Linked DNA regions of Drosophila melanogaster. The protein of the gene in region 1 interacts with the protein of each later gene in a pairwise test. Each region holds a gene or a part of one and is shown on either strand. Other genes may lie near its edges. The genes, in order: Mst84Da, slgA, gcm2 and 4E-T.

Evidence for each region.
Region 2: the proteins of Mst84Da (region 1) and slgA interact in a two-hybrid assay, tested with the Drosophila melanogaster proteins (one large-scale study listed by BioGRID).
Region 3: the proteins of Mst84Da (region 1) and gcm2 interact in a two-hybrid assay, tested with the Drosophila melanogaster proteins (one large-scale study listed by BioGRID).
Region 4: the proteins of Mst84Da (region 1) and 4E-T interact in a two-hybrid assay, tested with the Drosophila melanogaster proteins (one large-scale study listed by BioGRID).

The regions. Positions count from the first base shown.
Region 1 is NT_033777.3:7,363,926-7,366,781, reverse strand, and holds Mst84Da (Male-specific RNA 84Da), read right to left. Parts: upstream 933-2,856; 5' UTR 850-932; coding exon 811-849; exon of another isoform or gene 756-810; coding exon 603-755; 3' UTR 520-602; downstream 1-519. Other genes in the region: Mst84Db (Male-specific RNA 84Db), read left to right, coding at 1,277-1,501; Mst84Dc (Male-specific RNA 84Dc), read left to right, coding at 2,253-2,420.
Region 2 is NC_004354.4:21,372,532-21,377,359, forward strand, and holds the start of slgA (sluggish A), read left to right. Parts: upstream 1-1,780; 5' UTR 1,781-2,209; exon of another isoform or gene 2,210-2,290; intron 2,291-2,890; exon of another isoform or gene 2,891-2,962; intron 2,963-3,578; exon of another isoform or gene 3,579-3,588; 5' UTR 3,589-3,673; coding exon 3,674-4,135; intron 4,136-4,828. UniProt on the Drosophila melanogaster protein: Converts proline to delta-1-pyrroline-5-carboxylate. Involved in the conversion of proline to glutamate, which functions as a transmitter at neuromuscular junctions. Glutamate deficiency could possibly account for reduced motor activity.
Region 3 is NT_033779.5:9,606,911-9,613,245, forward strand, and holds gcm2 (gcm2), read left to right. Parts: upstream 1-1,651; 5' UTR 1,652-1,987; coding exon 1,988-1,998; intron 1,999-3,691; coding exon 3,692-4,436; intron 4,437-4,501; coding exon 4,502-4,592; intron 4,593-4,651; coding exon 4,652-5,625; 3' UTR 5,626-5,796; downstream 5,797-6,335. UniProt on the Drosophila melanogaster protein: Transcription factor with a minor role promoting glial cell differentiation and a more significant role in hematocyte differentiation.
Region 4 is NC_004353.4:952,353-960,103, reverse strand, and holds the start of 4E-T (eIF4E-Transporter), read left to right. Parts: upstream 1-1,711; 5' UTR 1,712-2,072; coding exon 2,073-2,098; intron 2,099-2,214; coding exon 2,215-3,559; intron 3,560-5,053; coding exon 5,054-5,183; intron 5,184-5,240; coding exon 5,241-5,615; intron 5,616-5,877; coding exon 5,878-6,084; intron 6,085-6,204; coding exon 6,205-6,591; intron 6,592-7,642; coding exon 7,643-7,751. UniProt on the Drosophila melanogaster protein: eIF4E1-binding protein that regulates translation and stability of mRNAs in processing bodies (P-bodies). Probably plays a role in P-bodies to coordinate the storage of translationally inactive mRNAs in the cytoplasm and prevent their degradation.

The DNA.
Region 1 (2,856 bases):
GTGTGTGTCTCAGTCTGTCAGCCAAGCGGGAACTTGATAAGGACAAAAGGTTCGATGCCTTTCTGGCGTTTACCCATAAGGACGAGGCTCTGCTGGAGGAGTTCGTGGATAGGCTGGAACGTGGTAGGCCCAGGTTCCAACTCTGCTTCTACCTGCGAGACTGGCTGGCGGGCGAATCTATTCCCGATTGCATTGGTCAATCTATAAAGGACTCGCGGCGCATTATTGTCCTCATGACAGAGAACTTTATGAATTCCACTTGGGGTCGCCTCGAGTTCCGACTGGCCCTCCACGCCACCTCACGCGATCGGTGCAAGCGTCTGATAGTGGTGCTCTATCCAAACGTGAAGAACTTCGACAGTCTGGATAGCGAGCTAAGGACCTACATGGCATTTAACACCTATCTGGAGAGAAGCCATCCGAACTTTTGGAACAAGCTGATTTACTCGATGCCGCTACTACCAAGCTACGTTGACTAGGACATTACATTATTAATTTCAATAAGAAACAAAAATATATAATTTGTTGTCTCCCACACAGTTTATTTTTTGAGATTTACATAGTTCCCGGAAGTATTCCGACAGGTTTCCGGGTCAACTGGTTTAGCAGCAAGGACCGCAACCGCAAAAACTGCTGGTGCCGCCGCAGCAAGGTCCACATCCTCCGCAAGGACCACAGCAGGGGCCACACCCACCACAGCAGGGGCCACATCCACCACAGGGTCCGCATCCGCCGCAGGGGCCACAGCAGGGGCCCTGATAAATCATATTAAAAGTATTCACTCGACTTACGAGACCGATAAATACATACCCCAACCAAAACGTAATTCGGGTTGACGTACATGTACATGATTTTGTTTCTTAAAAGATATTTCCCAACCGGAATCGAAAGGAACCGAAAATTTAGGTGTTAACTATTGAAGGTGGAACGGAGAACTGACTGAATGTGATCCAAATTAGCCGAAGCTTCATTTGACAGCAGTCATGAGAATTTCAAGGCTAATATGATCCGACAAATTATATTCATTATTATTATTATATTCTGGTATCCCAAAACCCATAATCTAGTTAGCTATGGATATTTTCGACAGTTGTCAAATTCATATACCAACTTGTGAGTCAGGTTTCCATCATTCTTATTTTGGTTCTCGGCCTGTAATCATCGAAATATTTTTTCGTCCTAAGTTATTTCTTTGTTAGGTTCAAAGTGAGTATTTCTCAAAGTGTAAGCATGCGAAGTTTTAACAAAATTTTTCTTAGAACTTTACGGAACCATCATGTGTTGCGGACCCCTTGGATTCTGCGGACCCTGTAGCCCGTGCGGCGGTCCTTGCGGACCTTGCGGACCCTGTGGTCCTTGCGGTTCCTGCTGTAGTCCTTGTGGATCTTGCTGTGCGCCTTGCGGCCCTTGCGGTCCTTGCGGTCCTTGCTGCGGGGGCTGTGGTCCATGCGGGCCTTGTGGACCTTGCTGTGGACCTTGTAGGCCATATTGCGGGTGCTGAACAACAACCACAACATGTAAAATATCTTTTTCCTGTGAACCACAAAGTGGAACTTAGGACTGAATGCGGATAAACTCTTCTTAGCTCGCGGGCCTAGTCAATAAAATAAGAATTTCAAAATACCTTTTCCGATGGTTTTTCTCTTCTAAATGGTGCAACCTTTGTCTTAGCTATGGATACCAAATGCGTGACAATAATAATTTATGTAATATAATTGCGAAAATTAAAATTGTCAATTCTTGGTGGATTGCGATCGTTAGAGGGGGCGGAGGAACATCCTACGTTCATATCGACTAGGCTTGTGATCCAGCTCAAGAATAAATAACCTTTTCTTCTATTCACTATAGCATAGCTATTACTCTACGAGTGGCGGGTATAAAACCTGCAACCGTGAATTTAAACCTCATTCAATAATAGTATTTGTCTGCAAACGGACAAATGTCCGATAACAATAATTCTATAACAATAATAACTATTTTTAACCATCAACCGCTGTACATAAACATAATTCGAATTCATAGTAGGCTATGGAAATCGTTCTTGACCTGTCAGACCCACCTAACCTTGTAAGTTCGGAAAATATATCATTCTCATCTCGACCCTTGTGCTGCTCGCATCAAAATTTTGTTGTTTTGTCCCAAATACTTGTTTTTTTTTTTTGGCTTCTAAAGACCGTTGGTAAAAATGTTTATTGTAAAGTTAAAATAGTATACATATTTATTTCGTTTATTTTAGACTTCTCGAATTAATCATGTGCTGTGGACCTTGTGGATCGTGCTGCGGATATTACTGCTGTGGTCCCTGCTGTGGACCTTGTGGACCCCGATGTGGGCCGTGCGGATCCTGCTGTGGACCCTGTGGACCCTGTGGACCTTGTTGCGGACCATTTGGCAGTTGTTGCGGTGGCTGTTGGTGCTAAATGCTCGCAATTGGCAGCCGAATCGATTTGTGAAACCATACCACAATCCCACCATGGTTAAACTAACACCTGAAAGTTAAAAGCCACAAATATATATATATGTATCTTAATGCAGATCCATGTTATCATTGGGATAGTTCACCATTGCTCTTACTCGGCGTTACTCGTTGACATAATAGGAATGCGTTTCGTAATATGTATGTGGGTGTAGGTTTCTTGATCAGGAACACTAGCCGGATACTAAGCGAGCAGATTGTATTGCGCTGCGAGCACAAGTTGCTATATGGAAATGGTTGAGACGTTCTTGGTAATACCATTTTATTTTACACGAATGACGTCTCAAGGTGATTGATTCTGCCTTCCGACGAGCTTCACTAGGACGTTCTTTGTTGTTCCCATCTGGATCAGTTGTACTGCTTGCTACGGCAGGACATTT
Region 2 (4,828 bases), on another chromosome or scaffold:
ATATAGATAGGTTTTACATGTTTTTCGGGCTATGTTGCACACATATCCAAAATATTCAGTTCATATCCGCACAACTGTGCATTAATATTCAATTGTTTTAACATTGTCGCATCAATCGAAAACCTTAAACTGAATTTGTCGCCCTTATGATAGTCTTGCGGTCAAGTTAAGCACCCATTTTCGATACTTACGATGCTTAAAGCTATTTGCTGGTGGTGCCCAATGGAGATGGAAAAACAGACATTCGTTGATCTACAATTTAGTCAATAATATTATGTAATAACAGAAAATCAAGCCAGCCGAAGAGAATGCGAGAAGAGAGTCGCGGCGATAGCGAATTATGTATTGTTTGTTATGACGGCGGTAGGAGGAGACCCGAGTCAGTTTCACACGCATATATCTATGTATATATTTGGTATTTAAATAACTTGTTCTGTTTTTTTCTTGTTAAGTTTCTCCTTTTTCGGGCCGCGTTCGCTAAGCAGCAAAATCAACAGCAGCGGTCGCTCATTAAATGTTAATTATTATTATTTCTAATATGTAGTCGTAACTTATTGCTATATTTGTCGAAACGCAAACAATTTGCAAACAAAAATATATTCATTTTAAAATGGAAACTTGGAATTTTCATTTTGAAGAGCCAATTTTGCAATATTTATCTATGAAACGCCAGTAAGTAATCAGTATACGGGAACAATTTGGTATCTATGTACGCATACATTGTGTATATTAAAAAATATGGAGTGCATATAGTTCTTGTAGTTTTTTTTTACGTTAACATGATTTCTTTGATGCCATAAATGTTTCTTAACTTTCTTACCTTTTTTCTATAAACAATTTTAAAGTAAAGTAAATTGAGACGTAAAAGGTTTTTTTTTGTTAGTGTCACAAGCCGAATCGCTTTGTTTTTAATTTTAATCAGTTTAAAAGATTTTATACGAAGTAATATGTTTGAAATTTGTAACCGAAAAAATCGCTTAAAACAAACCCAAAGGACATTTTTAGAGATCGCTGGTGTGTAGATTTGTGAGACGGCGATAACTATCGATATTTATATTATATTTATATTGCGAGCTGAAAGTAACAAATAGTTCGGATACTCAATTTTGTAACTAACAATAATTCAAACTTTTCTAAAATCCCTTCTTTCGGCACACAGCAAAAGGAAATATTTGGCTTGGGAGGGTCCGATTAGAAAGATTTAGAAAACTTATATTCATTTGGTGGCCTTATATTTGCGTAAATAGTGCAATTAAAATAAATCTGTTTGATACTTTCTTGAGTCCACGATAAGCGTTCTTTACACAGAGAAACATTTTGAATAATTTTCGTACCTGAAACTAAATTTCAAATTTTGCGAGCGTATATTTCGTATCGATATATTTCTCCAGTGATCTGGGTGTAAAGCAAGCCTGTTTGCGAGGCCAGTGTTGCAAGACGCCGGTTGTCAAGAAAGAGACAGGGAGAGAGATGAATAGAAGGAATGGTTCGTTTTTGTTGGACGCTGGTGTGGGAGTCCATTGATAAGATAAGAGCACCGAAGATTCCCGGCCAACCGCCAGGGGCCTAGATAAGCGTGCCGATTTTTATTGGGTAATAAGAGTTGACAAGATGGCGATTAATTTTCGATCGGGTTTCTTTTTTTCGCTCACGTGCAGCCCAAACAGCTGCTGGGGGTGGCCCATCCCCTTTCTGCCCCTCACCGACTGGTCCAACAATTTCTCTCAAGCTTTTTTGGACGAGCTTTCGCCGTGTTGGCCTTAATTTCGCTTCATGTGTTTCAGTTTATTCGCGAATTCAGACCCTTGCGCGTGCTCACGCTCTCTGTTGCAGCAGCAAAAACCAAAAACCCTCGAAAAGAACAACATTGACTCGAAAAAACCGAAAAATAATTATAATTGTACTTGTACTTGTGTGTCTTTTGTGAGGTGAGCAAATGCGCTGACAGAAACGGGAACTTTTCTACTTTTCTCGCAGGCTGCTGTGAGAAGTTTGTCAAACAAACACGAGTTTTTCCGAAAAACTATATTTGGCAATTCTACAAATTCTACAAAATTGTATTGTTTACCCTTATTATTGTTTTTGGGTCGTTGCTGGTTATGTATCGTAGTTTGTTTTTTTTGAAGTGACAAAACAACCGTTAAAGCAAAATTTATATCGAGCAAATAGAGGAAACCCACAAACCCAAGCGAAATTTTGCAGTGTACATGTGAGTGGCTGCGTTGTATTCGTATCATAAAAGGATCTCTACAAAGCGAGGTAGAGAGCAGTAAGCAGTGTTATATAATAGGTACAATTCGCCGCATAGCAACAAATAAGAAAAATGAAGAAAAAAAAACAAAAAAAAAAAAACCATTCAGATGAATTCGCAATTTAAGTACGGCAGCTCCCTGTTTCCCTTTAACCAAGGCGGCCAGAGCGAGACAGAACTTGATATAGCCCATAATGAAGTGTAATGAAATCTGTGCAATGAAACCCGCCAAGTTTTTTCGATTGATTGCAGCCTCCCGTCTGGCGATTATTTAGCGGGCTGCTAATTAATAAATAAAATGAAAAAGGGAAAAGGGGTTAATGGGTGGAAAACTGAGAACGAAAATTGGGGAGAATCAAGGAGAGCCGCAATTAACACCAATTAGTGTGTGCTTTCGGCGCATTTCAATTAAATCAAAACAAATTCCAAATCAAAATCAAAATCAGAAGCAAACGGGGCTGGCATGCCTGTGACGTCACACAGTCGTAGTTACAATTACGGTACAATCTCGGTTACATTTACAGTTACATAAACGGGAGCGAAGCGGCGAAAAGGATTTTCTCGCCCTCGGGTCCTTCCTCGTTTCGCTTCGTTGAATTTGCCGTCGCTTAACAACTCGCCCCATTTTCACGCGTCTTCGTCGCATTTGGTTTCGTGCTTTTGCGGCGTATACAACGCTCAAAGCGTAATAGAATAAATAATAAGAACGAAGTAAGAAGAAAACCCAAAAGACACATAATAGCGAAAGATAGATTTCTGCCCAGAAATTGACTTTTTTAATTGAACATTTCGAAGGTGTACTTGCGTACGTGTGATTGTGTTGTGCTGTTTTTTTCGGCTTCGCTCTCCCTCGCCGCCTCACGTTTTTCGCATTTGTTGTATAACATTCGGAGCGAGCGAAAGAGGGAGAGCGAAAAGCTCTCCGACAAAATCAGCTGTGATCATTGGCGTTGGCGTGGGGTTTGTGGGGGGGCAAAAAACACAATTAGGCAAAAAGTTGCAATAATAATATGTACACTGATTTTAATATTTTTATAAATTGAATTTTATTATACATTTGTTTATTATTTTTATATTAATTAGATATCATCCAATTACAATTAAATCAATTCTATATGATCTTATTGAAAATCAATGCATATTTTGAAACAGTCGTAATAATTTTGTTATATATGTACCACATTTCCACTTTTTAAAACGTTATTGTAATCGAGTTGAAAACGAGATAACCACCTTTAGTAATCTCTTCGTTACGCCACTGTCTTCCCTCAGATTCGTAGTGATTTGTAGAGATAATAGTGAAATTACCTCTGCTTTCCATTGTTTTCTTTTTGCAGCAACAACCGAGATTGGAGTGCGTTTCAATAACCGTCTCAAAAGCCGAAGAGCAGAAAGCGTAAATAAACCGCAGAATCCCTTGTAATGGCTCTACTCCGTTCGCTGAGCGCCCAACGAACAGCCATCAGTTTGGTCTACGGCCGTAATAGCAGCAAGTCGAGCAATTCCGTGGCCGTCGCCGCCTGCCGGAGTTTCCATCAGCGCGGCAGCGGGAGCACCAGCATCGCCGGAGAAGGAGCAGCATCGGAGTCCACGAGAGGAGTCAATGGAGCGCGCTTCCTGCACAGCGGCGACCGGCCGCTGCAGGCCTCCACTCTGGTCCAACCGGAGGTGGTCTCCAGCGAGACGGTGAAGCGATCGATGAAGCAGGAGTCGTCCCAGGAAAAGAACCCCTCGCCCGCTGGCTCGCCGCAGAGGGATCCCCTGGACGTGAGCTTTAATGATCCGATTGCTGCTTTCAAGAGCAAGACCACTGGAGAGCTAATACGCGCCTATCTCGTCTACATGATATGTTCCAGCGAGAAGCTGGTCGAGCACAACATGACGGTGAGTTAATCGGTGTCCCCCACTCCTCCTCTGCCGAGTCCTGCGACCTTTGACCCTTGAATTGGTCCAATCCATCGACTAGCTGAGATCTCTCTCTCTCTCTCTAGCTCTCTGTTTCTGGTTCTGTTTGCTGAGAAATCTGGGGCTCTGTTAGTACATAACCCCTGCTTAATGCTTTCTTAATATTACAATTAAGTAAGTATCGTTTTAGATAGTGACCGATTTCGAAACCATTTGTTTCAACTCTCGAAGTGTGTGCTGACTCTTCGCCTCTTCTGTCCTCTTCTGCTGCTTTCAACTTATTATAATTCATTCATTTATTTTATAAATACTTCCTTTAAAATGCTTTATTTAAATATATTCATGTACATGGATTCTTGGACACTTGAAGAGTAAACAAAAGTTATGAACAGCTAGGGCTATTGAATTCCATGTATGTATAATGTTAAAGTTGTCTGAAACTGAACGTAGAAGAATATTTAATTTTTTTGTTTGCTTCCTTTTTTCTATTCATGAATTTTTTTGTCTTATTCATGAATTTTTTCGATCCTGCCAAGCTTCCATTCGCTTGATTCCGATTTTCCGGGCAACCGAAGCCCGTGTCAGGTGGCTGGCTGCTTTCCTTCCGATTTTCCGCCCTGCTTCCGCTTTTCAATTCACCCGACCCGCAGCGAGTTTTCGTTTGCTCCCCTC
Region 3 (6,335 bases), on another chromosome or scaffold:
AATGTTAAGCAATTAATTGCGAAAACCCCAAGCAGCTGCAAGACAGAAAACCGAACGATAAGCCGGATCGCGATAGATACTGGGGTAAACTGTTTAGCTAGTTGTGAAGTTGTGCATTTTCTACCACTTTCTGGTTGGTTCGTATATATGGTAAATGTATTTGTCACCCGTATCATTTGCTGTGGAGCGTTAAAGCGACAACAGCAGCAGCGGCAGCAGCAGCAGCCATTTCCAGGCCATCCGCGTAGTTACGCGTCTCCAGGCCCAATCCCGTATATATCTGGCCATAGTTGCAGGGGCCCAATTCCCTCCTGCCCCTTTTTAATTACGGGTCACAGTGGATGAGCGCAGGGGCGCAGCAACAGTTGCCACTGGTCGGTCGCTGCCACTTTTGTTACCATTTACATTTCCTGTCAACGGCATTTTCAATTTTCACTTTAACGCCTATTTGCTCCTCCATTTCTTTGCCTCTCCCTGTTAAATTGCTCTTCTTGGTCTGTTAATTGTGAGTGTGTGCTACCAAGTGGATGCATAAATTGTATTTTATTTTTTGTGCCCTGTAACTTTGGCCCAAATGGCGATGCGGGCTGATCAGGTGAAAACAAAAGACGCAGCAAGCATTAGGCCCAGCAATGCCCCCGCCTCACCAAAAAGTTCACCCTCTGGCTGATCTGGCCCTGATATTGTTGCCACTTGTGTATTCTCATGTTGTGGCTTTAGGAGAAATAATTTATTTGGCCAATAACCAGAGGAAAGTTGCTGTGTTTGGGGGGGAAGAACATACTTAGGTATCATTAGAAAATTTTTGAATGTTTTAGTAAATGTTTACTAATTAAAGAAAATTCAAAACTATATTTATTTCATAGTTAATATGAACAGACAACAGTCTAATGATTCAAATGCCGTTCCTTTCTAAGGCGACCCATGAAACAGAATACATATTTATACATACAAGTGACTCAAAATAAAAAGCAATCATGGCCAGTTATCGGAATGTTCAATTTACAATACGTGTTAAGCGGCATAGATCGGCATTACCCAGTCCATTAATCATCCCCCTAATCTGGCGAATATTCCAAACGATAAACCCCTGAATATCTATGCTCTGCCAAAGGTTTCCACTGCTTTTTGTTGGCATATCCTTAAACAGAGTTAAACAGAACAATGGGGACTGATAAGGGGCATAATAAGTAATTAAATTTCTGTGATGCTTATCGAGTATGTAGCCCCCACCACAGAAATTCCTCCATCTCCATCGCCGGAACTTCAAAATCTCTCTCTTCTCTTCTCTCGAAAGAGAGGAAGCCTATGTGTGCGTGTTTATCCGACCAATCGGAGGCGAGAAGAGACGACTGGAACTGGAAGCAACTGAGACTGCCTGGAAGGCAATGTATCTGACGGATACGTTTTACCACTCTGCCAGCTGCGTGGAGTTTTTTGGCAAATTATGCGGGTGGCTCGTCGCTGTATCGTCGCTTTCCCCGCTTTCCCGCTCCTCCGCCCACTTTCGAATATTTTGTTGGTTTTTGTAGGTGGAGCCAGAGCCATAATACCATTCCTTTGTTGACAAAACTTGGCACTACTACTCGCTCGCTGAAGTTTGTTTTTGTCTGCTGCTGCCGCTGCTGCTCTTTTGTTTTTCGTATCTGCCAGATACGCGCGCACATCCCGCCCTGCAGGTTGTATTCGAGGTTCAGCGAAAAGGTCGTCATTCTCACGGTTGTTTCCCATCGTCGGCGTCGCGTGCGCAATTCAGTTCAATCCAATCCAATCCGTTCCGAGGAGCTTCAACTAGCGACGGCTATCCGCGAGATACAAGTGCCCAGTGGATACAAGTGTCGCCTAATTGGATTACAATGCTCAAGTGTTGCCTGTTCGCAGGGCTTTCGAATCGCGGAAAACTCATTTAGGAGCAGTTGAGGTTTTATTGGATATTTTTAATTATACCACCTAATACCTGGATTAAAGAAGCTGCTTCAATTGGAATATGGTTGTTATGTAAGTTCTAAATAGTCCCTTTTTCGGAGATTTTCAAATGTAAATTCGAAATTTTATTGCCAAAAAATACTTTTAATAGGACAATAATCATATACTTTGTTCTCGAACCTTTTATCAAATATAATGGTAATTATTGAAATATGCTTAAAATAGGTTTCACTAAGTTTCTAAATTATTCTGCTTGGAACCCAAAGGAATATGGATTAAAAATTAATTTGCTCACATTATTCAAGGCATAGAGCTACCGAAGAATTAAAAAGCTCTCAGTACAAATGTTTCAAATTATTGCTGATCTGAACTGTGCCGACACGCGTTAAACCCAAGCCATCTGCGTAAGTGTTGAGCTTCCAAACACCTCAGATCAATCTCGGATGAAGAATGGGCCACAAATCAAACGATAAAGAGGCAGCGGGGGAGGTCAGGGAAAATGTAAATGATTTCAAACGCTTTATTATCACGCTGAGCGCGTTCCACAGCTTAGTTAATGGCACTCCGGTCCAGTCCAATCCGCTCCAAAGAGCCGCGGGGTGTGCCTCGTATTTTGGATGTTGGATTTCGGAAGGGGGATCTCGAATCTTGGAAACCGGCGGACCACACACAGTCGTAGGCGGAGCGGCGCTCGAGTGAAAGGGTCAAAGAGCCGATGATGATGATGATGCCCCCCCGGCCCCTTCGATTTATAGAGACATATTTTCTAGGTGACAAACTTATTATGAGCCCTGGACAGAGGAGGCCCAAAAATACAGATCTCGAACGAAGTGAGACGCTATCAGCATCAGATAAGCCCAACTAACGAGCGCCCCGAAGTGTCGAGCAGTCAATTTACGGACCCAAAACAAAGCGAGCCACTAGCCACGAACAGGTTCAATCGGGGGAAACCAAAGACCACCAGGCGAACCGTAGCACAGGTATTTGGTGTGTGGTTCTTGGTGCTAGATGCTGTGCAACCTGCTGACTTCCAAGTACACATAAAAACACTCAGGGGACCGAGGCGAATCGATCCATCGGCTTCGAAATCGATGGAAGACAAATTTATTGCTAATTGCAGAGCTCGCTCTCTAATAACTCCCACACATGGAGAATCTCGGCTGAGGCCCTCCATCGAGTCTAGCGATTCCCAGCTGACTCACGATCGGAGTGTCGGTTTAATATGCATCTCCGCCTCCTCAACTGGCGCTCGAATTACGATTGTGGCCAGCTTGGATTACCTGGTGCACAAGATTTGGGGCTAACGGTACCAGCCCTCTAAACTGGGCCTAAATAACCATGCGTTTCATGAGGCCCATAAACCTGGCAAACGTTTCATTTGATTGGTTTGTGTTGGGTTGGGATGGCCCCCTACGAAACAGTTTAGGGCGCAATTAAGATAGGATTTCAATTCCTTAAACGATGCTTAGGCTTTGGCGATAAAGTCACAGTTAAATGGATCACTTAAAGTTTTTACTCGATGTAAAGAGTTTTAATGTAAATAAATTCGATTTAAAAGTTAATGCTGTGACTCACAGTTTTGCCTTAACTTAGATTCCAAAAGGGCAGTGGTGTTTTTTTATTATGTGGCTACTAGAAGTGATATAAAAATCTGAACTCAAGTTAAAGTATGTTTTGTGCTCTTTGGCAAAATTCAAATATAATAATATAGTATTCTTAACTATGAATATAAAATGCAACTTATTATATATAAAATCCTCTACAGAAATGGCTACAGCTTCAAGACGCAGCAACTTCTCACACAGCAACCCGATCATTCTCAGCTTACCCAGTTTGTCCAGCCCCAAAGTCAGAGTACGCATTCGGTGCATCCGGGTCCAAGTCCTGGTCAACAGCAGGCGGGTGGCTCCATGACCATGCCGTCGTCGTCGACGGGCAAGGGAAAACGGGAGTGGGACATCAATGATGCCATTGTGCCACATGTGCCGGACCAGGAGTTCGACGAGTTCAACGAGTGGAGCGACGGGCATGTGAGGCACATCTATTCGCTGCACAACGAGGAGGCCAAGAAGCACATTTCCGGCTGGGCCATGCGCAACACGAACAACCACAACGTGAACATTCTGAAGAAGAGCTGCCTGGGCGTCCTGGTCTGCTCCCAACACTGCACCCTGCCCAACGGATCCAAGATCAACCTGCGCCCAGCCATTTGCGACAAAGCCCGGCGGAAGCAGGAGGGCAAGGCGTGTCCCAACAAAAGTTGTCGTGGCGGTAGACTAGAGATTAAACCGTGTCGCGGTCACTGCGGCTATCCGGTGACCCACTTCTGGCGGCACTCCGGCAATGCCATCTTTTTTCAGGCCAAGGGAGTGCATGATCACCTGCGTCCGGATCCGAAGAACTCCAGTGTTTCCAAGCGGGCCTTTGGACGTGTGCCGCTGGCTGGAAAGTCAGCCAACGGATCAGTCGCCAAGAAGTCGGTCATTGCGGGTCTGGTCAAGCAGGCGAAGGTGAGCTTAGATAGACATTCATTCACCCGGGATGTATCATCTTAACCATTCTTCTCTGACGACAGCAACAACACAGTCTGATTAGCAAGGTTCTTAAGCGTCCTGCTGTCAGCAATCCTCTGGCTCACACCGCATTGGATATATATCAGTATAATGGTAGGTATATAAAACAAGAATATTTAAAGATTTCTTTTACAATTTGTATCCCCCATTAGCCTGTGGCAAGTGCGCCGGTTATAGCCACTGCACTTGCAGCTACCTGGATGACAGCACCACGGCGAGGAGCCATCAGTTGTCACAATCCTCGAATTACGGCACCAATTCTTGGCCACTAAGTGGATCCGAGTCATCGGCACCCTGCGAGACGGCAGCTAATGTGTTTACGGTCAACCACCAGCACATCACCTATAACTATCCCATCTACCATGCAACTCCAGCGGCGGCCACCGCGGCACCTAGTAAATCTCCCAGTTTGCCCTACGCCTGCAGCATTTCGGAACTGGCCGCATACCAGCAATCCTCCAGCGGGAACAGCTTTGCGATGGGTGTTCCCGTGCACGGACACACACAATGCCAGGCAGTAGCCTATGATTCCAGCCCGCAACTGGCCACTCCGGAACCGGAGTTCATCAACTACTCGCAGATCAAGCATTTGGGTGGTGGCGGTGGTCAGGAGGAGATCAGCTGCAAGGCCGAACCGGGACCCACCATTAAGTACAATGCCACCGTGGAGACGCAGCCGTATGTGGAGGACAACTACGATTACTACTATAGCCCCAAGGCGGAGTACGAAATGCAACAGCACCACCACCAGCAGCAGCAGAGCCACCAACAGTTCGGTGGAAATCAGACAGCGGGACATCACTACTACGAGAGCAGTAGTGGCTATAATGGAGTCAGCTATTTCGACACAGGAACTACTACGGCACCAGGAAATACTGCAACCGGAAATGGCCTGGAAGTCGGATACGGCGGCTACTACGATCACTACACCAGCTACGAGCAACAAATGGCGGTAGCAGGTGGATTTGCCACTGCCGGAGGATCCACTGCGCCGACAGTGGCCGCGCCCCCTGGCCATCCACCGCCTCCACCACCACCGCCCACGCTGACGTACCACCATCACCATCACCACCACTTGCACCACCCAGCAGCAGCTACAGGCCTAGCCCCATCGGTCACCCATTGAATAGTACTTAACCAATCCGGACACCGGAGGATTACTCATAGTCGATAGCTAAGCATAGTAACATAGTGTTTAAAATAGTGGTGAAATCTTAATTTCCATCTGTACGTGTAGTGTTAAACGGTTTACCAATTGTTTTTCTCGGCAAATAAATTATGAAAAGTGTTGATTTGTAAAAGTAAATGTATTTAATTTAAGTGCGTAAATATAATTTCTTATTGCGCGACCAATTCAAACATAGCTAATTTTCAGCGGTCATGATGGTGCGGTTCTTGAAATCAGAGATAGATGTCGCGCTGTAAAAAAATTGTTGGTAAGAACCATGTAAAATGTAATGGTAAAAACCATGTAATGTAGACAAGCAGGTGCTCACTTAACCATAACTGTAGTAATTTTAGGACGCATTTAATGATTTGTAGTTTAAAATCGATAGATAGTAAGATATACTTTAATACGAATGATGTTTTATAATTGGCGGAAACATTTAAAGAAAAACAAATTGGCTGCCAAGACCCAAATTTTGTACCGCTTACATGGCTTGCAGTTTTTTTTTAAAAAGCCTCCTACCGGTAAGAAACTGAACTACTGCAGAGTTGCTTTACGATAAACTCACAATGACACACAGACACAGACACACAGACATAACCAGACTAAAGAGAATAGTACTACAAGTTATAATCGCTATCTTCAGCAAGAGGATTTCACATTTAAAG
Region 4 (7,751 bases), on another chromosome or scaffold:
CTTTGATTTTTAATAACTCGACATATGGCTTTATTTGTACCACATTTCTTCGTACTGTGCCATACCATCCCTATTTTGCCATCCTTACGATACCGCCGTCATTATCTTCATTAATGGGTGGGTAGAGACCGTTAGGTCAATGCAGGACGGCATATAGAAATTGGGTGACGCACTCTTAGACCATAACCAAAACTATCGTATATTCTCAAAAAAAGGGGACTATGACTATAAAAATAGCTATGTATTTAACTCTAAACCTCTATAGATTTTGATAGACCATGACATTGTGTGGAACATGATGTCATTTTCTAGACATTGTGCACGAAGATCATTCCCGAAGTCGACCGAACACTTATTCCGTGCATGTTTCATCAGACCGCCGGCAGCATATTTTAGCGTTAGGCGTGCACTTCCTTGTATAACTGTGTACACCTACAAAAAATTTCAAAATCAATCTATCGGGCACGCTCCGTTAATCGAAGTACTTTACGATTTCGATTTTAAAGATTGGTGCTCCGGTTTTCAAATTCGTAAGGATTTTCGATGTGTATAACGGGCACTTTTGTCTGGCCGAAATGAAAAGTATATGCCCATTTTTATATCACGTTAGATCTTAACCAAGGGAAAAAATAGTTCAGTAGTCTATTGATTTATATTCATTAGTTATTTTATATACAATTTATTTCTGACCCCATCAAAAATTTGATATACAAAATTTTGCTGTCGGCAACAAAAATTTTCGATTTGGCATTTTAAAACGCAAGATCGGTGCTCCGGTTTTCAAATTCGTAAGGATTTTTCGATTTGTAAAACGGACACTTTTGTCTGGCCGAAATGAAAAGTATATGCCCATTTTTATATCACGTAAGATATTATTTACCAAGGGAAAAAATAGTTTACTCAGTGGTCTATTGATTTATATTAATTATTTATATTCATTATTTATTTTATATACAATTTATTTCTGACCCCATTAAAAATTTGACATACAAAATTTTGCCGTCGGCAAAAAAAATTTTCGATTTGGCATGGGGTCATGCGTGCGTCGACTAAACTTACTTATAAAATATAAAAGAATTAATTATCTTAATTTAAAAGATGGCCTATAGTGTTCGTAAGTAATGCTATTTAATTTAATTAATTAAACGGTCAAAATGCAGTAAAAAATTAAATGCGAACATCGGAATTAAAATTGTGAAAAAGGTGTCCGCTGGAAAACAGCTTAAACAGCTGTTTACTGTACAGAAAACACTCCGACAGCAAAAAATTTTACGAAATCAAATCGAATTCGGAAACAAATTACGATTATTCGGTAATGCATGCCTGATTATAATTTCTTGATTTGTTTTATATTAAATTTAAAATTTAATAGTTTAATAATATAAAAATATTCTTATTTATATTATATATTATGAGTATTTCAAATGTAAATAATCATATAAACTATTTTATAAAACATCGACGTTACATAAATAAAATTTATTTTTTGTTTTTCAAGTGTAAATAATAATATTAATCATTTTAGAAAACATTCGGCACCTTTACTCGACGCTCATACGAACGGACAGATATGCTTAGTCTGGTATCGCTTTAGCACCAGTAGGAAAAACCTAGAATTTCTTTTCCCACAAATGTCACAACTTCAAAATTCCATTGTTTCACGGTGTTTCTCTTTTAATGTTTCAATATTAATATATATAATGCCTTAAGGTTCAATAAGAACAAAATATTTTCAATGTCTATATCCCACTCCAATTTAGCGTGATATTCACAAAGCTAATCGCAACATTGTGAGCATTAAAAATTGTTATATATGTATGTAAGCGTCTTGGGATTATATTCTCATGAAACTCAACAGTCATATATATGGCCTTAAAATACGTATATATATATATATATATTAATTTTTCAAAGTGTGTGTTTGCATAAGTGGTGTGTACTATTTGTATATTCATTGTACAATTTCTCCCGTTCATATAGGAGAGTGTTCTGTTTTTAATAATTTTGGATATCTTAACTTTTTCGACTTTCTGTAATAAGTTAGATTACACAGTGAACTATAGTCCTTAGCAATGGATACATCAAAGATTAGTGCCAGGTATGTGGATTAAATATTGGTAAATTTTAGTCAACTTTTTCGATATTATTCTCGCGTACTGTTTTTTTAAACTTGTATATGTACTAACATTGTTTTAACAATCTGTTTCACATTAGGTACTCGAAAGTAGACCTGTTAGCTCTAAGATATGAAGGTAAAAGTCGACAGCGCCCGCAATGTTCAACACGACTTGAATTGCAGACGCTAGGTTTTTGGAAAATTAATCTGAACACAGCTGCGTTAACCGTGTCCAGCGCCTATTCTAATCAAAACAAGAATCGACTTTCTCCAGAAGCAGATAACTCGAGCTTAATTTGTTCCAATAGTAGCTCAATAAGTTCACGTCGCGCTATGAGAAATCGAGAACGGGCAAACAACTATTACCAGCGCTTCGTACCTACCGATTCTCTTCTAATAAGTGGGGAGGATAAAGATAAGGATGCGCTTTCTCATGGACAGCCCTATAAGTTGAATATCATCGATCACCGTAGCATATCATCTTCACATTTAATGCCGGCATTTGCAAAGAGGCGTTTTGTCATATCGAAAGGCAGCAACAGCGAGGAAAGCAACGAGGGGATAAACACTTGTGCAAGCAAGGGCAAGGCAGCCAGTTCGCCTAGCCGTAAGGGTAGCGAGTTGGATACTGCTGAGACATGTTTGAATTTTGTTCAGCCGGATCACGACCAATGCATGTCATCTTCACCTACATTTTCAACATCCCGCCAAGAAAGGCGGATTGGTAGCGGTCGGCTGTTGCCAAGAAGTGATAATTGGGATTACAAAAACGAAAAGACCGTAGAAGCCAGCATTGAGAATGAAAAGGAAACATCTCCAAATGGATCTGGAAGTACAAGCAGTCTTAATCAGCACAATCAAAGCCAACATCGTTCTCGAACATTCAGTGGAAGGTTAGTTGAACGTGTTCCCGAAGTCACAGATCGTCGTTTTCAATATGACTCCAAAAAGTCTTTTGATCGTCAGGGAATTAATAATCGACGCATTTCTGGTAAGGAGCCTTTCAGTACTCAAAGCCGAAGCAAGCGTGGCAATTCCTATCTCATTCACGAAGAACCTGAATGGTTCAGTGCAGGACCTAAATCACAGCTAGAAACTATTGATCTACACGGGTTTGAAGACCTGGAAAAAAACGAAGAGCGATCCGTAACTGAAGATAAAAATAATCAAATTCAACAACTTGATAAAAATTTAGACGCGCAAGCAAGCAAAGATGAAGCTTCGATGAGAAACAGCAATGATAGTTTAAATTTCCGCGAAGTCATTCCAAGTGATGAAAAGAAGCACACTGACGAAAATGTAGTGACTTCTATTCAAAACTCAACAGATCTCGGCCATCCCAATAAAAACAAACCAATTCAGATGCAGCCCAGTCAGAATCCTGAAAGTGAATTTAATTTTGATGCCTTTCTTAATATGCATCCCTTGGATAATTCCGTTTTGGTAAATATATTGCAAAAACTAGATTTTAAGGAATGAGTACCTAATCCATTCAGACATTACATGGACAACTTCCGGGTTACCTTTTATTGACGGATCAATAATAGTATTCAAATAAGCTGTAAATAATGATATTAACTCCCGTTACTCAAGTAAAGGGTAAAGAGTTAAAGGGTATACTAGATTCGTTGAAAAGTATGTAAACTATATATTCTTGATCAGGATCAATAGCCGAGTCGAACTGGCCATGTCCGTCTGTCCGTATGAACGTCGAGATCTCAGGAACTAAAAAAACTAGTATGTTGCAATTTAGCATACAGATTATAGATACGAAGACGCAGCACAAGCAAAGACACTAGAATAACAAGATGCGTAACGGCCATACATTGGTTTTGCACTATGCAGCCAATTTTTTAGTGACGGCCAAAATTGCTCTCTTTCCGCTCGCTCCCGCTGAGAGCATAAGAAATCTAAAAATAGAATTTGCTTGCTTGTGTGAGTAAAAACAAGAGACGAGAACGCATATATGTGTGCGTGTTGTGCTAGAAGACGATTTTCGGACCGAAATCAATTCTGATCAAAGAAACGAATTTACATTGTACATATTAGGGTAGTTTTTGTCAATTTCGTAGCAATATGATAAAATAAAATAATTTTTAACTGACTATTATCATTTTAAAGCTTTTTAAATTTGTTTGTTAAAATCGCCGCTCGAATTAGCTACCGTTTACACATTTATATTTATGTTTAATTCTAATTTGTCTCTCATCTGACAATTTTTTAAAAGCGAAATATTTTTTTTTTTAAACACTTTTAATGTTAATGTTACATCATATTAAGTCAAATGACATAATAAATATAGTAAATAATTAAATATGATAACTGTTTATTGCAAAAGTCATATCAAAGACACTAGAATTATTCTAGTGTCTTTGCTTTGTTCATATCTTGAAGCACGAAGTACGGACACAAGCACTCAACAATCATTGCCTTATTAATTTTTCACACGCCGCAAGATGAATACTCTAATGACAAATATTCTTATATAAAGTCATTTTTGAAATTTATTTTTGTGATAATATGTACATAGATTTGGCTATTTCTAATCTATTTTCATATAATAATAACGTTAAGGCAATGCAAAACAAGAATTTTTCGCATGGTGCCAATTGATCAAAAATAATATAGATTTAAAGTCAAAGAACTTCTAAGGTGAAGGGCATATTTTGTGAAATTTACAATGCATGAGCATGCCTGTGTACACATACAGTTGTCTGCTATCACTTTATGCGTTAAAAACAAACAAACAAACCGCCCAGAACTGCCACGCCAACATTTTTGAAAAATGTTCTGATATTTTTTCATATTTTTATTAGTCTAGTAAATTTCTATGGATTTGCAAAAAAAAAAGTTTGCCCCGGCAACTCTAATACCCTAGAATTTATATTTTAAAGGTAAGCTTATTAATTTTAAGATATATTTATTGTACATTTGCAGAGTAATGATGAAACTGGAAAAAGTGACTCAAAAGGAACATCCCGTTTTAGCCGATGGTTTCGACAAAAAGAAGCTGCAAATAATAATGAGTTTCCAGGGTTTCGGGAATCGCATGCTCAAGAAAAACGTGGTATGTCAAGATTTGTAATAATATATCAAAGGCCTTATAGTTCACTTTGTTCTTAAGGTATTCCAAGTGTTAAGGATCTGGAAGCTCAAATGATAAAAGTGGATATGAGGACTGATTTAATAAATCCAATAGCAGGGTCATTATGTCAGACAGTGCAAATGGAAAAACCTATTGCTAGAGACACTGAGGCATTCAAAAAACTTTTGCAACAGTTGGGTTCTCAAGCCAGGCAGCATCATCCATGCAACGACGATTGTCGTACAATAAACCTCTCAAATATAGCAAATCATGTACACCTTGAGTCAAAATTACATCAAAAAATAAATGATGGTCATTTGCAGCAACCAGAGTTAAGTGTTAACGTGCCAACCATGCCAACTAGTAGTCATGTATTTTTGCAAAAGCGTTTGGAAATCCAACATTTAATTCAAAGTAAGATATGTTTCAAAATTCCATGTCTATAAACTTTTTCTTGAATACTTAAGTCCTTTTTCTTGTCCTTATGGTAAAATAATATAAGGTTTCTGGCTGATAAAACACATGAATGTTACAGTTTACCATATACATGTTTACCATCAGAACGGGAACTTATTTAAAGCGTATCTGGTAAAAACCACGTGTTCTTATTTTAATGCTTTTATACCCTGCGCTGTATTTAAATATTATGAAAAACAAAATGTTTAATAATAAATAGGACTTCATTGTGGAGACGTTTCACATGATTTTTTGGAAAAAGAATTGGATAATCCCAGCACCCCAGCAGCCACAAAGGATGTCATTGCCACAGTGTTGAATGAATATTCTCATTCTAAAAGAAATCCGGTGGTCACAGGCGATCCCAATATTTTTACCCAACAATCGTTTCTTCAGCCTCAATCAGTCCATCAGCACTACTCTCAAGGTAAGTAATTCTTGGTTATATGGTAACTCTTTAAAATTCAATTAATATAATATTTGATTCAGTTAAAGTATCTTATTTATTACTAAAATTATTTGTAAAAATTCCTTAATTTTTTTCTAGAATTGCATTCGCAAAATACTGCTAACCATACGATTAATCAGCTAATTTCCCACGGTAACTCTCCAACTCCGTTGGCATTTACTCCTACTTCAGTTTTAAGAAAAATGACAGCCGATAAGGATACGCAATCACCAAGCACTTATTGTCAGAACCCACAATATCATGTACACCAACAAAATGCCAAGCAAGTCGGTACTCGTGAGAACGTACTTGAGCCACAGCTGACCGCAACAATGGCTGTACAGCCCCGAATGATATTAGGCGGTGGAAACTTTGCCATTGGCCAAAACAATCAACATTTGTCTCCCAACATGTCACAAAGTCGTAATCAACAAGTGTTAAAGTGGACTTCTGGCAATATGCAAATGGTCCACGGAAAAACATTTGGTAAGTTACACAAAAAAGTGTTAGCTATTATTAAAGTACATTTATTAGTTAAAGCTTTGTTTTTTTTTTTTTGCTATAAGTTTTTTTTACTCGTTCTCATAAACTTAATGTAAATGTATATGAATTTCAAGAGAAATTATAAAAATCGTTGAGTTACCATAAAAAGCGTGCAAATACGCAAATACAAAATTCAGTTCTTAAAAGAGGATAGTATAGGATAGGAGAAAGTGGATGCTTTTTATACCCGTTACCCGTAGCGTAAAAGCAAAGACATTAGAATAACAAGATACGTAACGGCCATATATTGGTTTTGCCAAAGACATTAGAATGACGAGTAACGCCATACGTTTTTTAGGATTTTTGTTGACTTTTTCATCAATTTATTAGTCTCTTAATCAAGTAAATTTTCAAAAGTTTTGGTGGCTTTGTGGGCGTGGCAGTTTTGGCCTGTTTGTGGGCCTTAGAGTGTCCGCAGCATCATGACTCTCTCAAGCTTCTCAACTCTCTAGCTTCTATAGCTCCTGAGATCTCGATGGCCAGATCGACTCGGCTATTGATCCTGATCAAGAATATATATACTTTATATGGTCGGAAACGCTTCTTTCTGCCTGTTACATTCTTTAAAACGAATATAGTATATCTCTACGAGAACCGGGTGTAAATATACAACCTGTAGAATAGCTAAATTGGCTTTTTGAGACACGACGTGCGTGCACGTATATACTTACATAATATAGAGAGTATTTTTTAATAGACCAAAAAATAAATATTCATATACACAGTTTGCTTAATTTATATTCTGTGCAAGAAGTGTACCCTACAATTTTGATTATTCTTGACTTATTGGGGTAATGAAAATTACGATTATTTAGTGGAATTTTTTGAAGTGGACTTTGTTTTAATGTAGTTATCTGTGACCCAAAGCAATATTTTATTCTCTAGGAATAAATATCTTTGTTAAACAACGCGATATAATAAACTTGAGATCTTCGACTTCTGTATTAATGGGTTCAAAGACTTACACATTATTATTTTGACTTACATATTTTAGGCCGACCTATTCTGAAAGGAGGTCTTAATTCAATGCCGCATTCCAATTCTGCACTTCCTTTTACTGCCCATAAAATTGAAATGCAACCCATTCATCAACCACATCTACA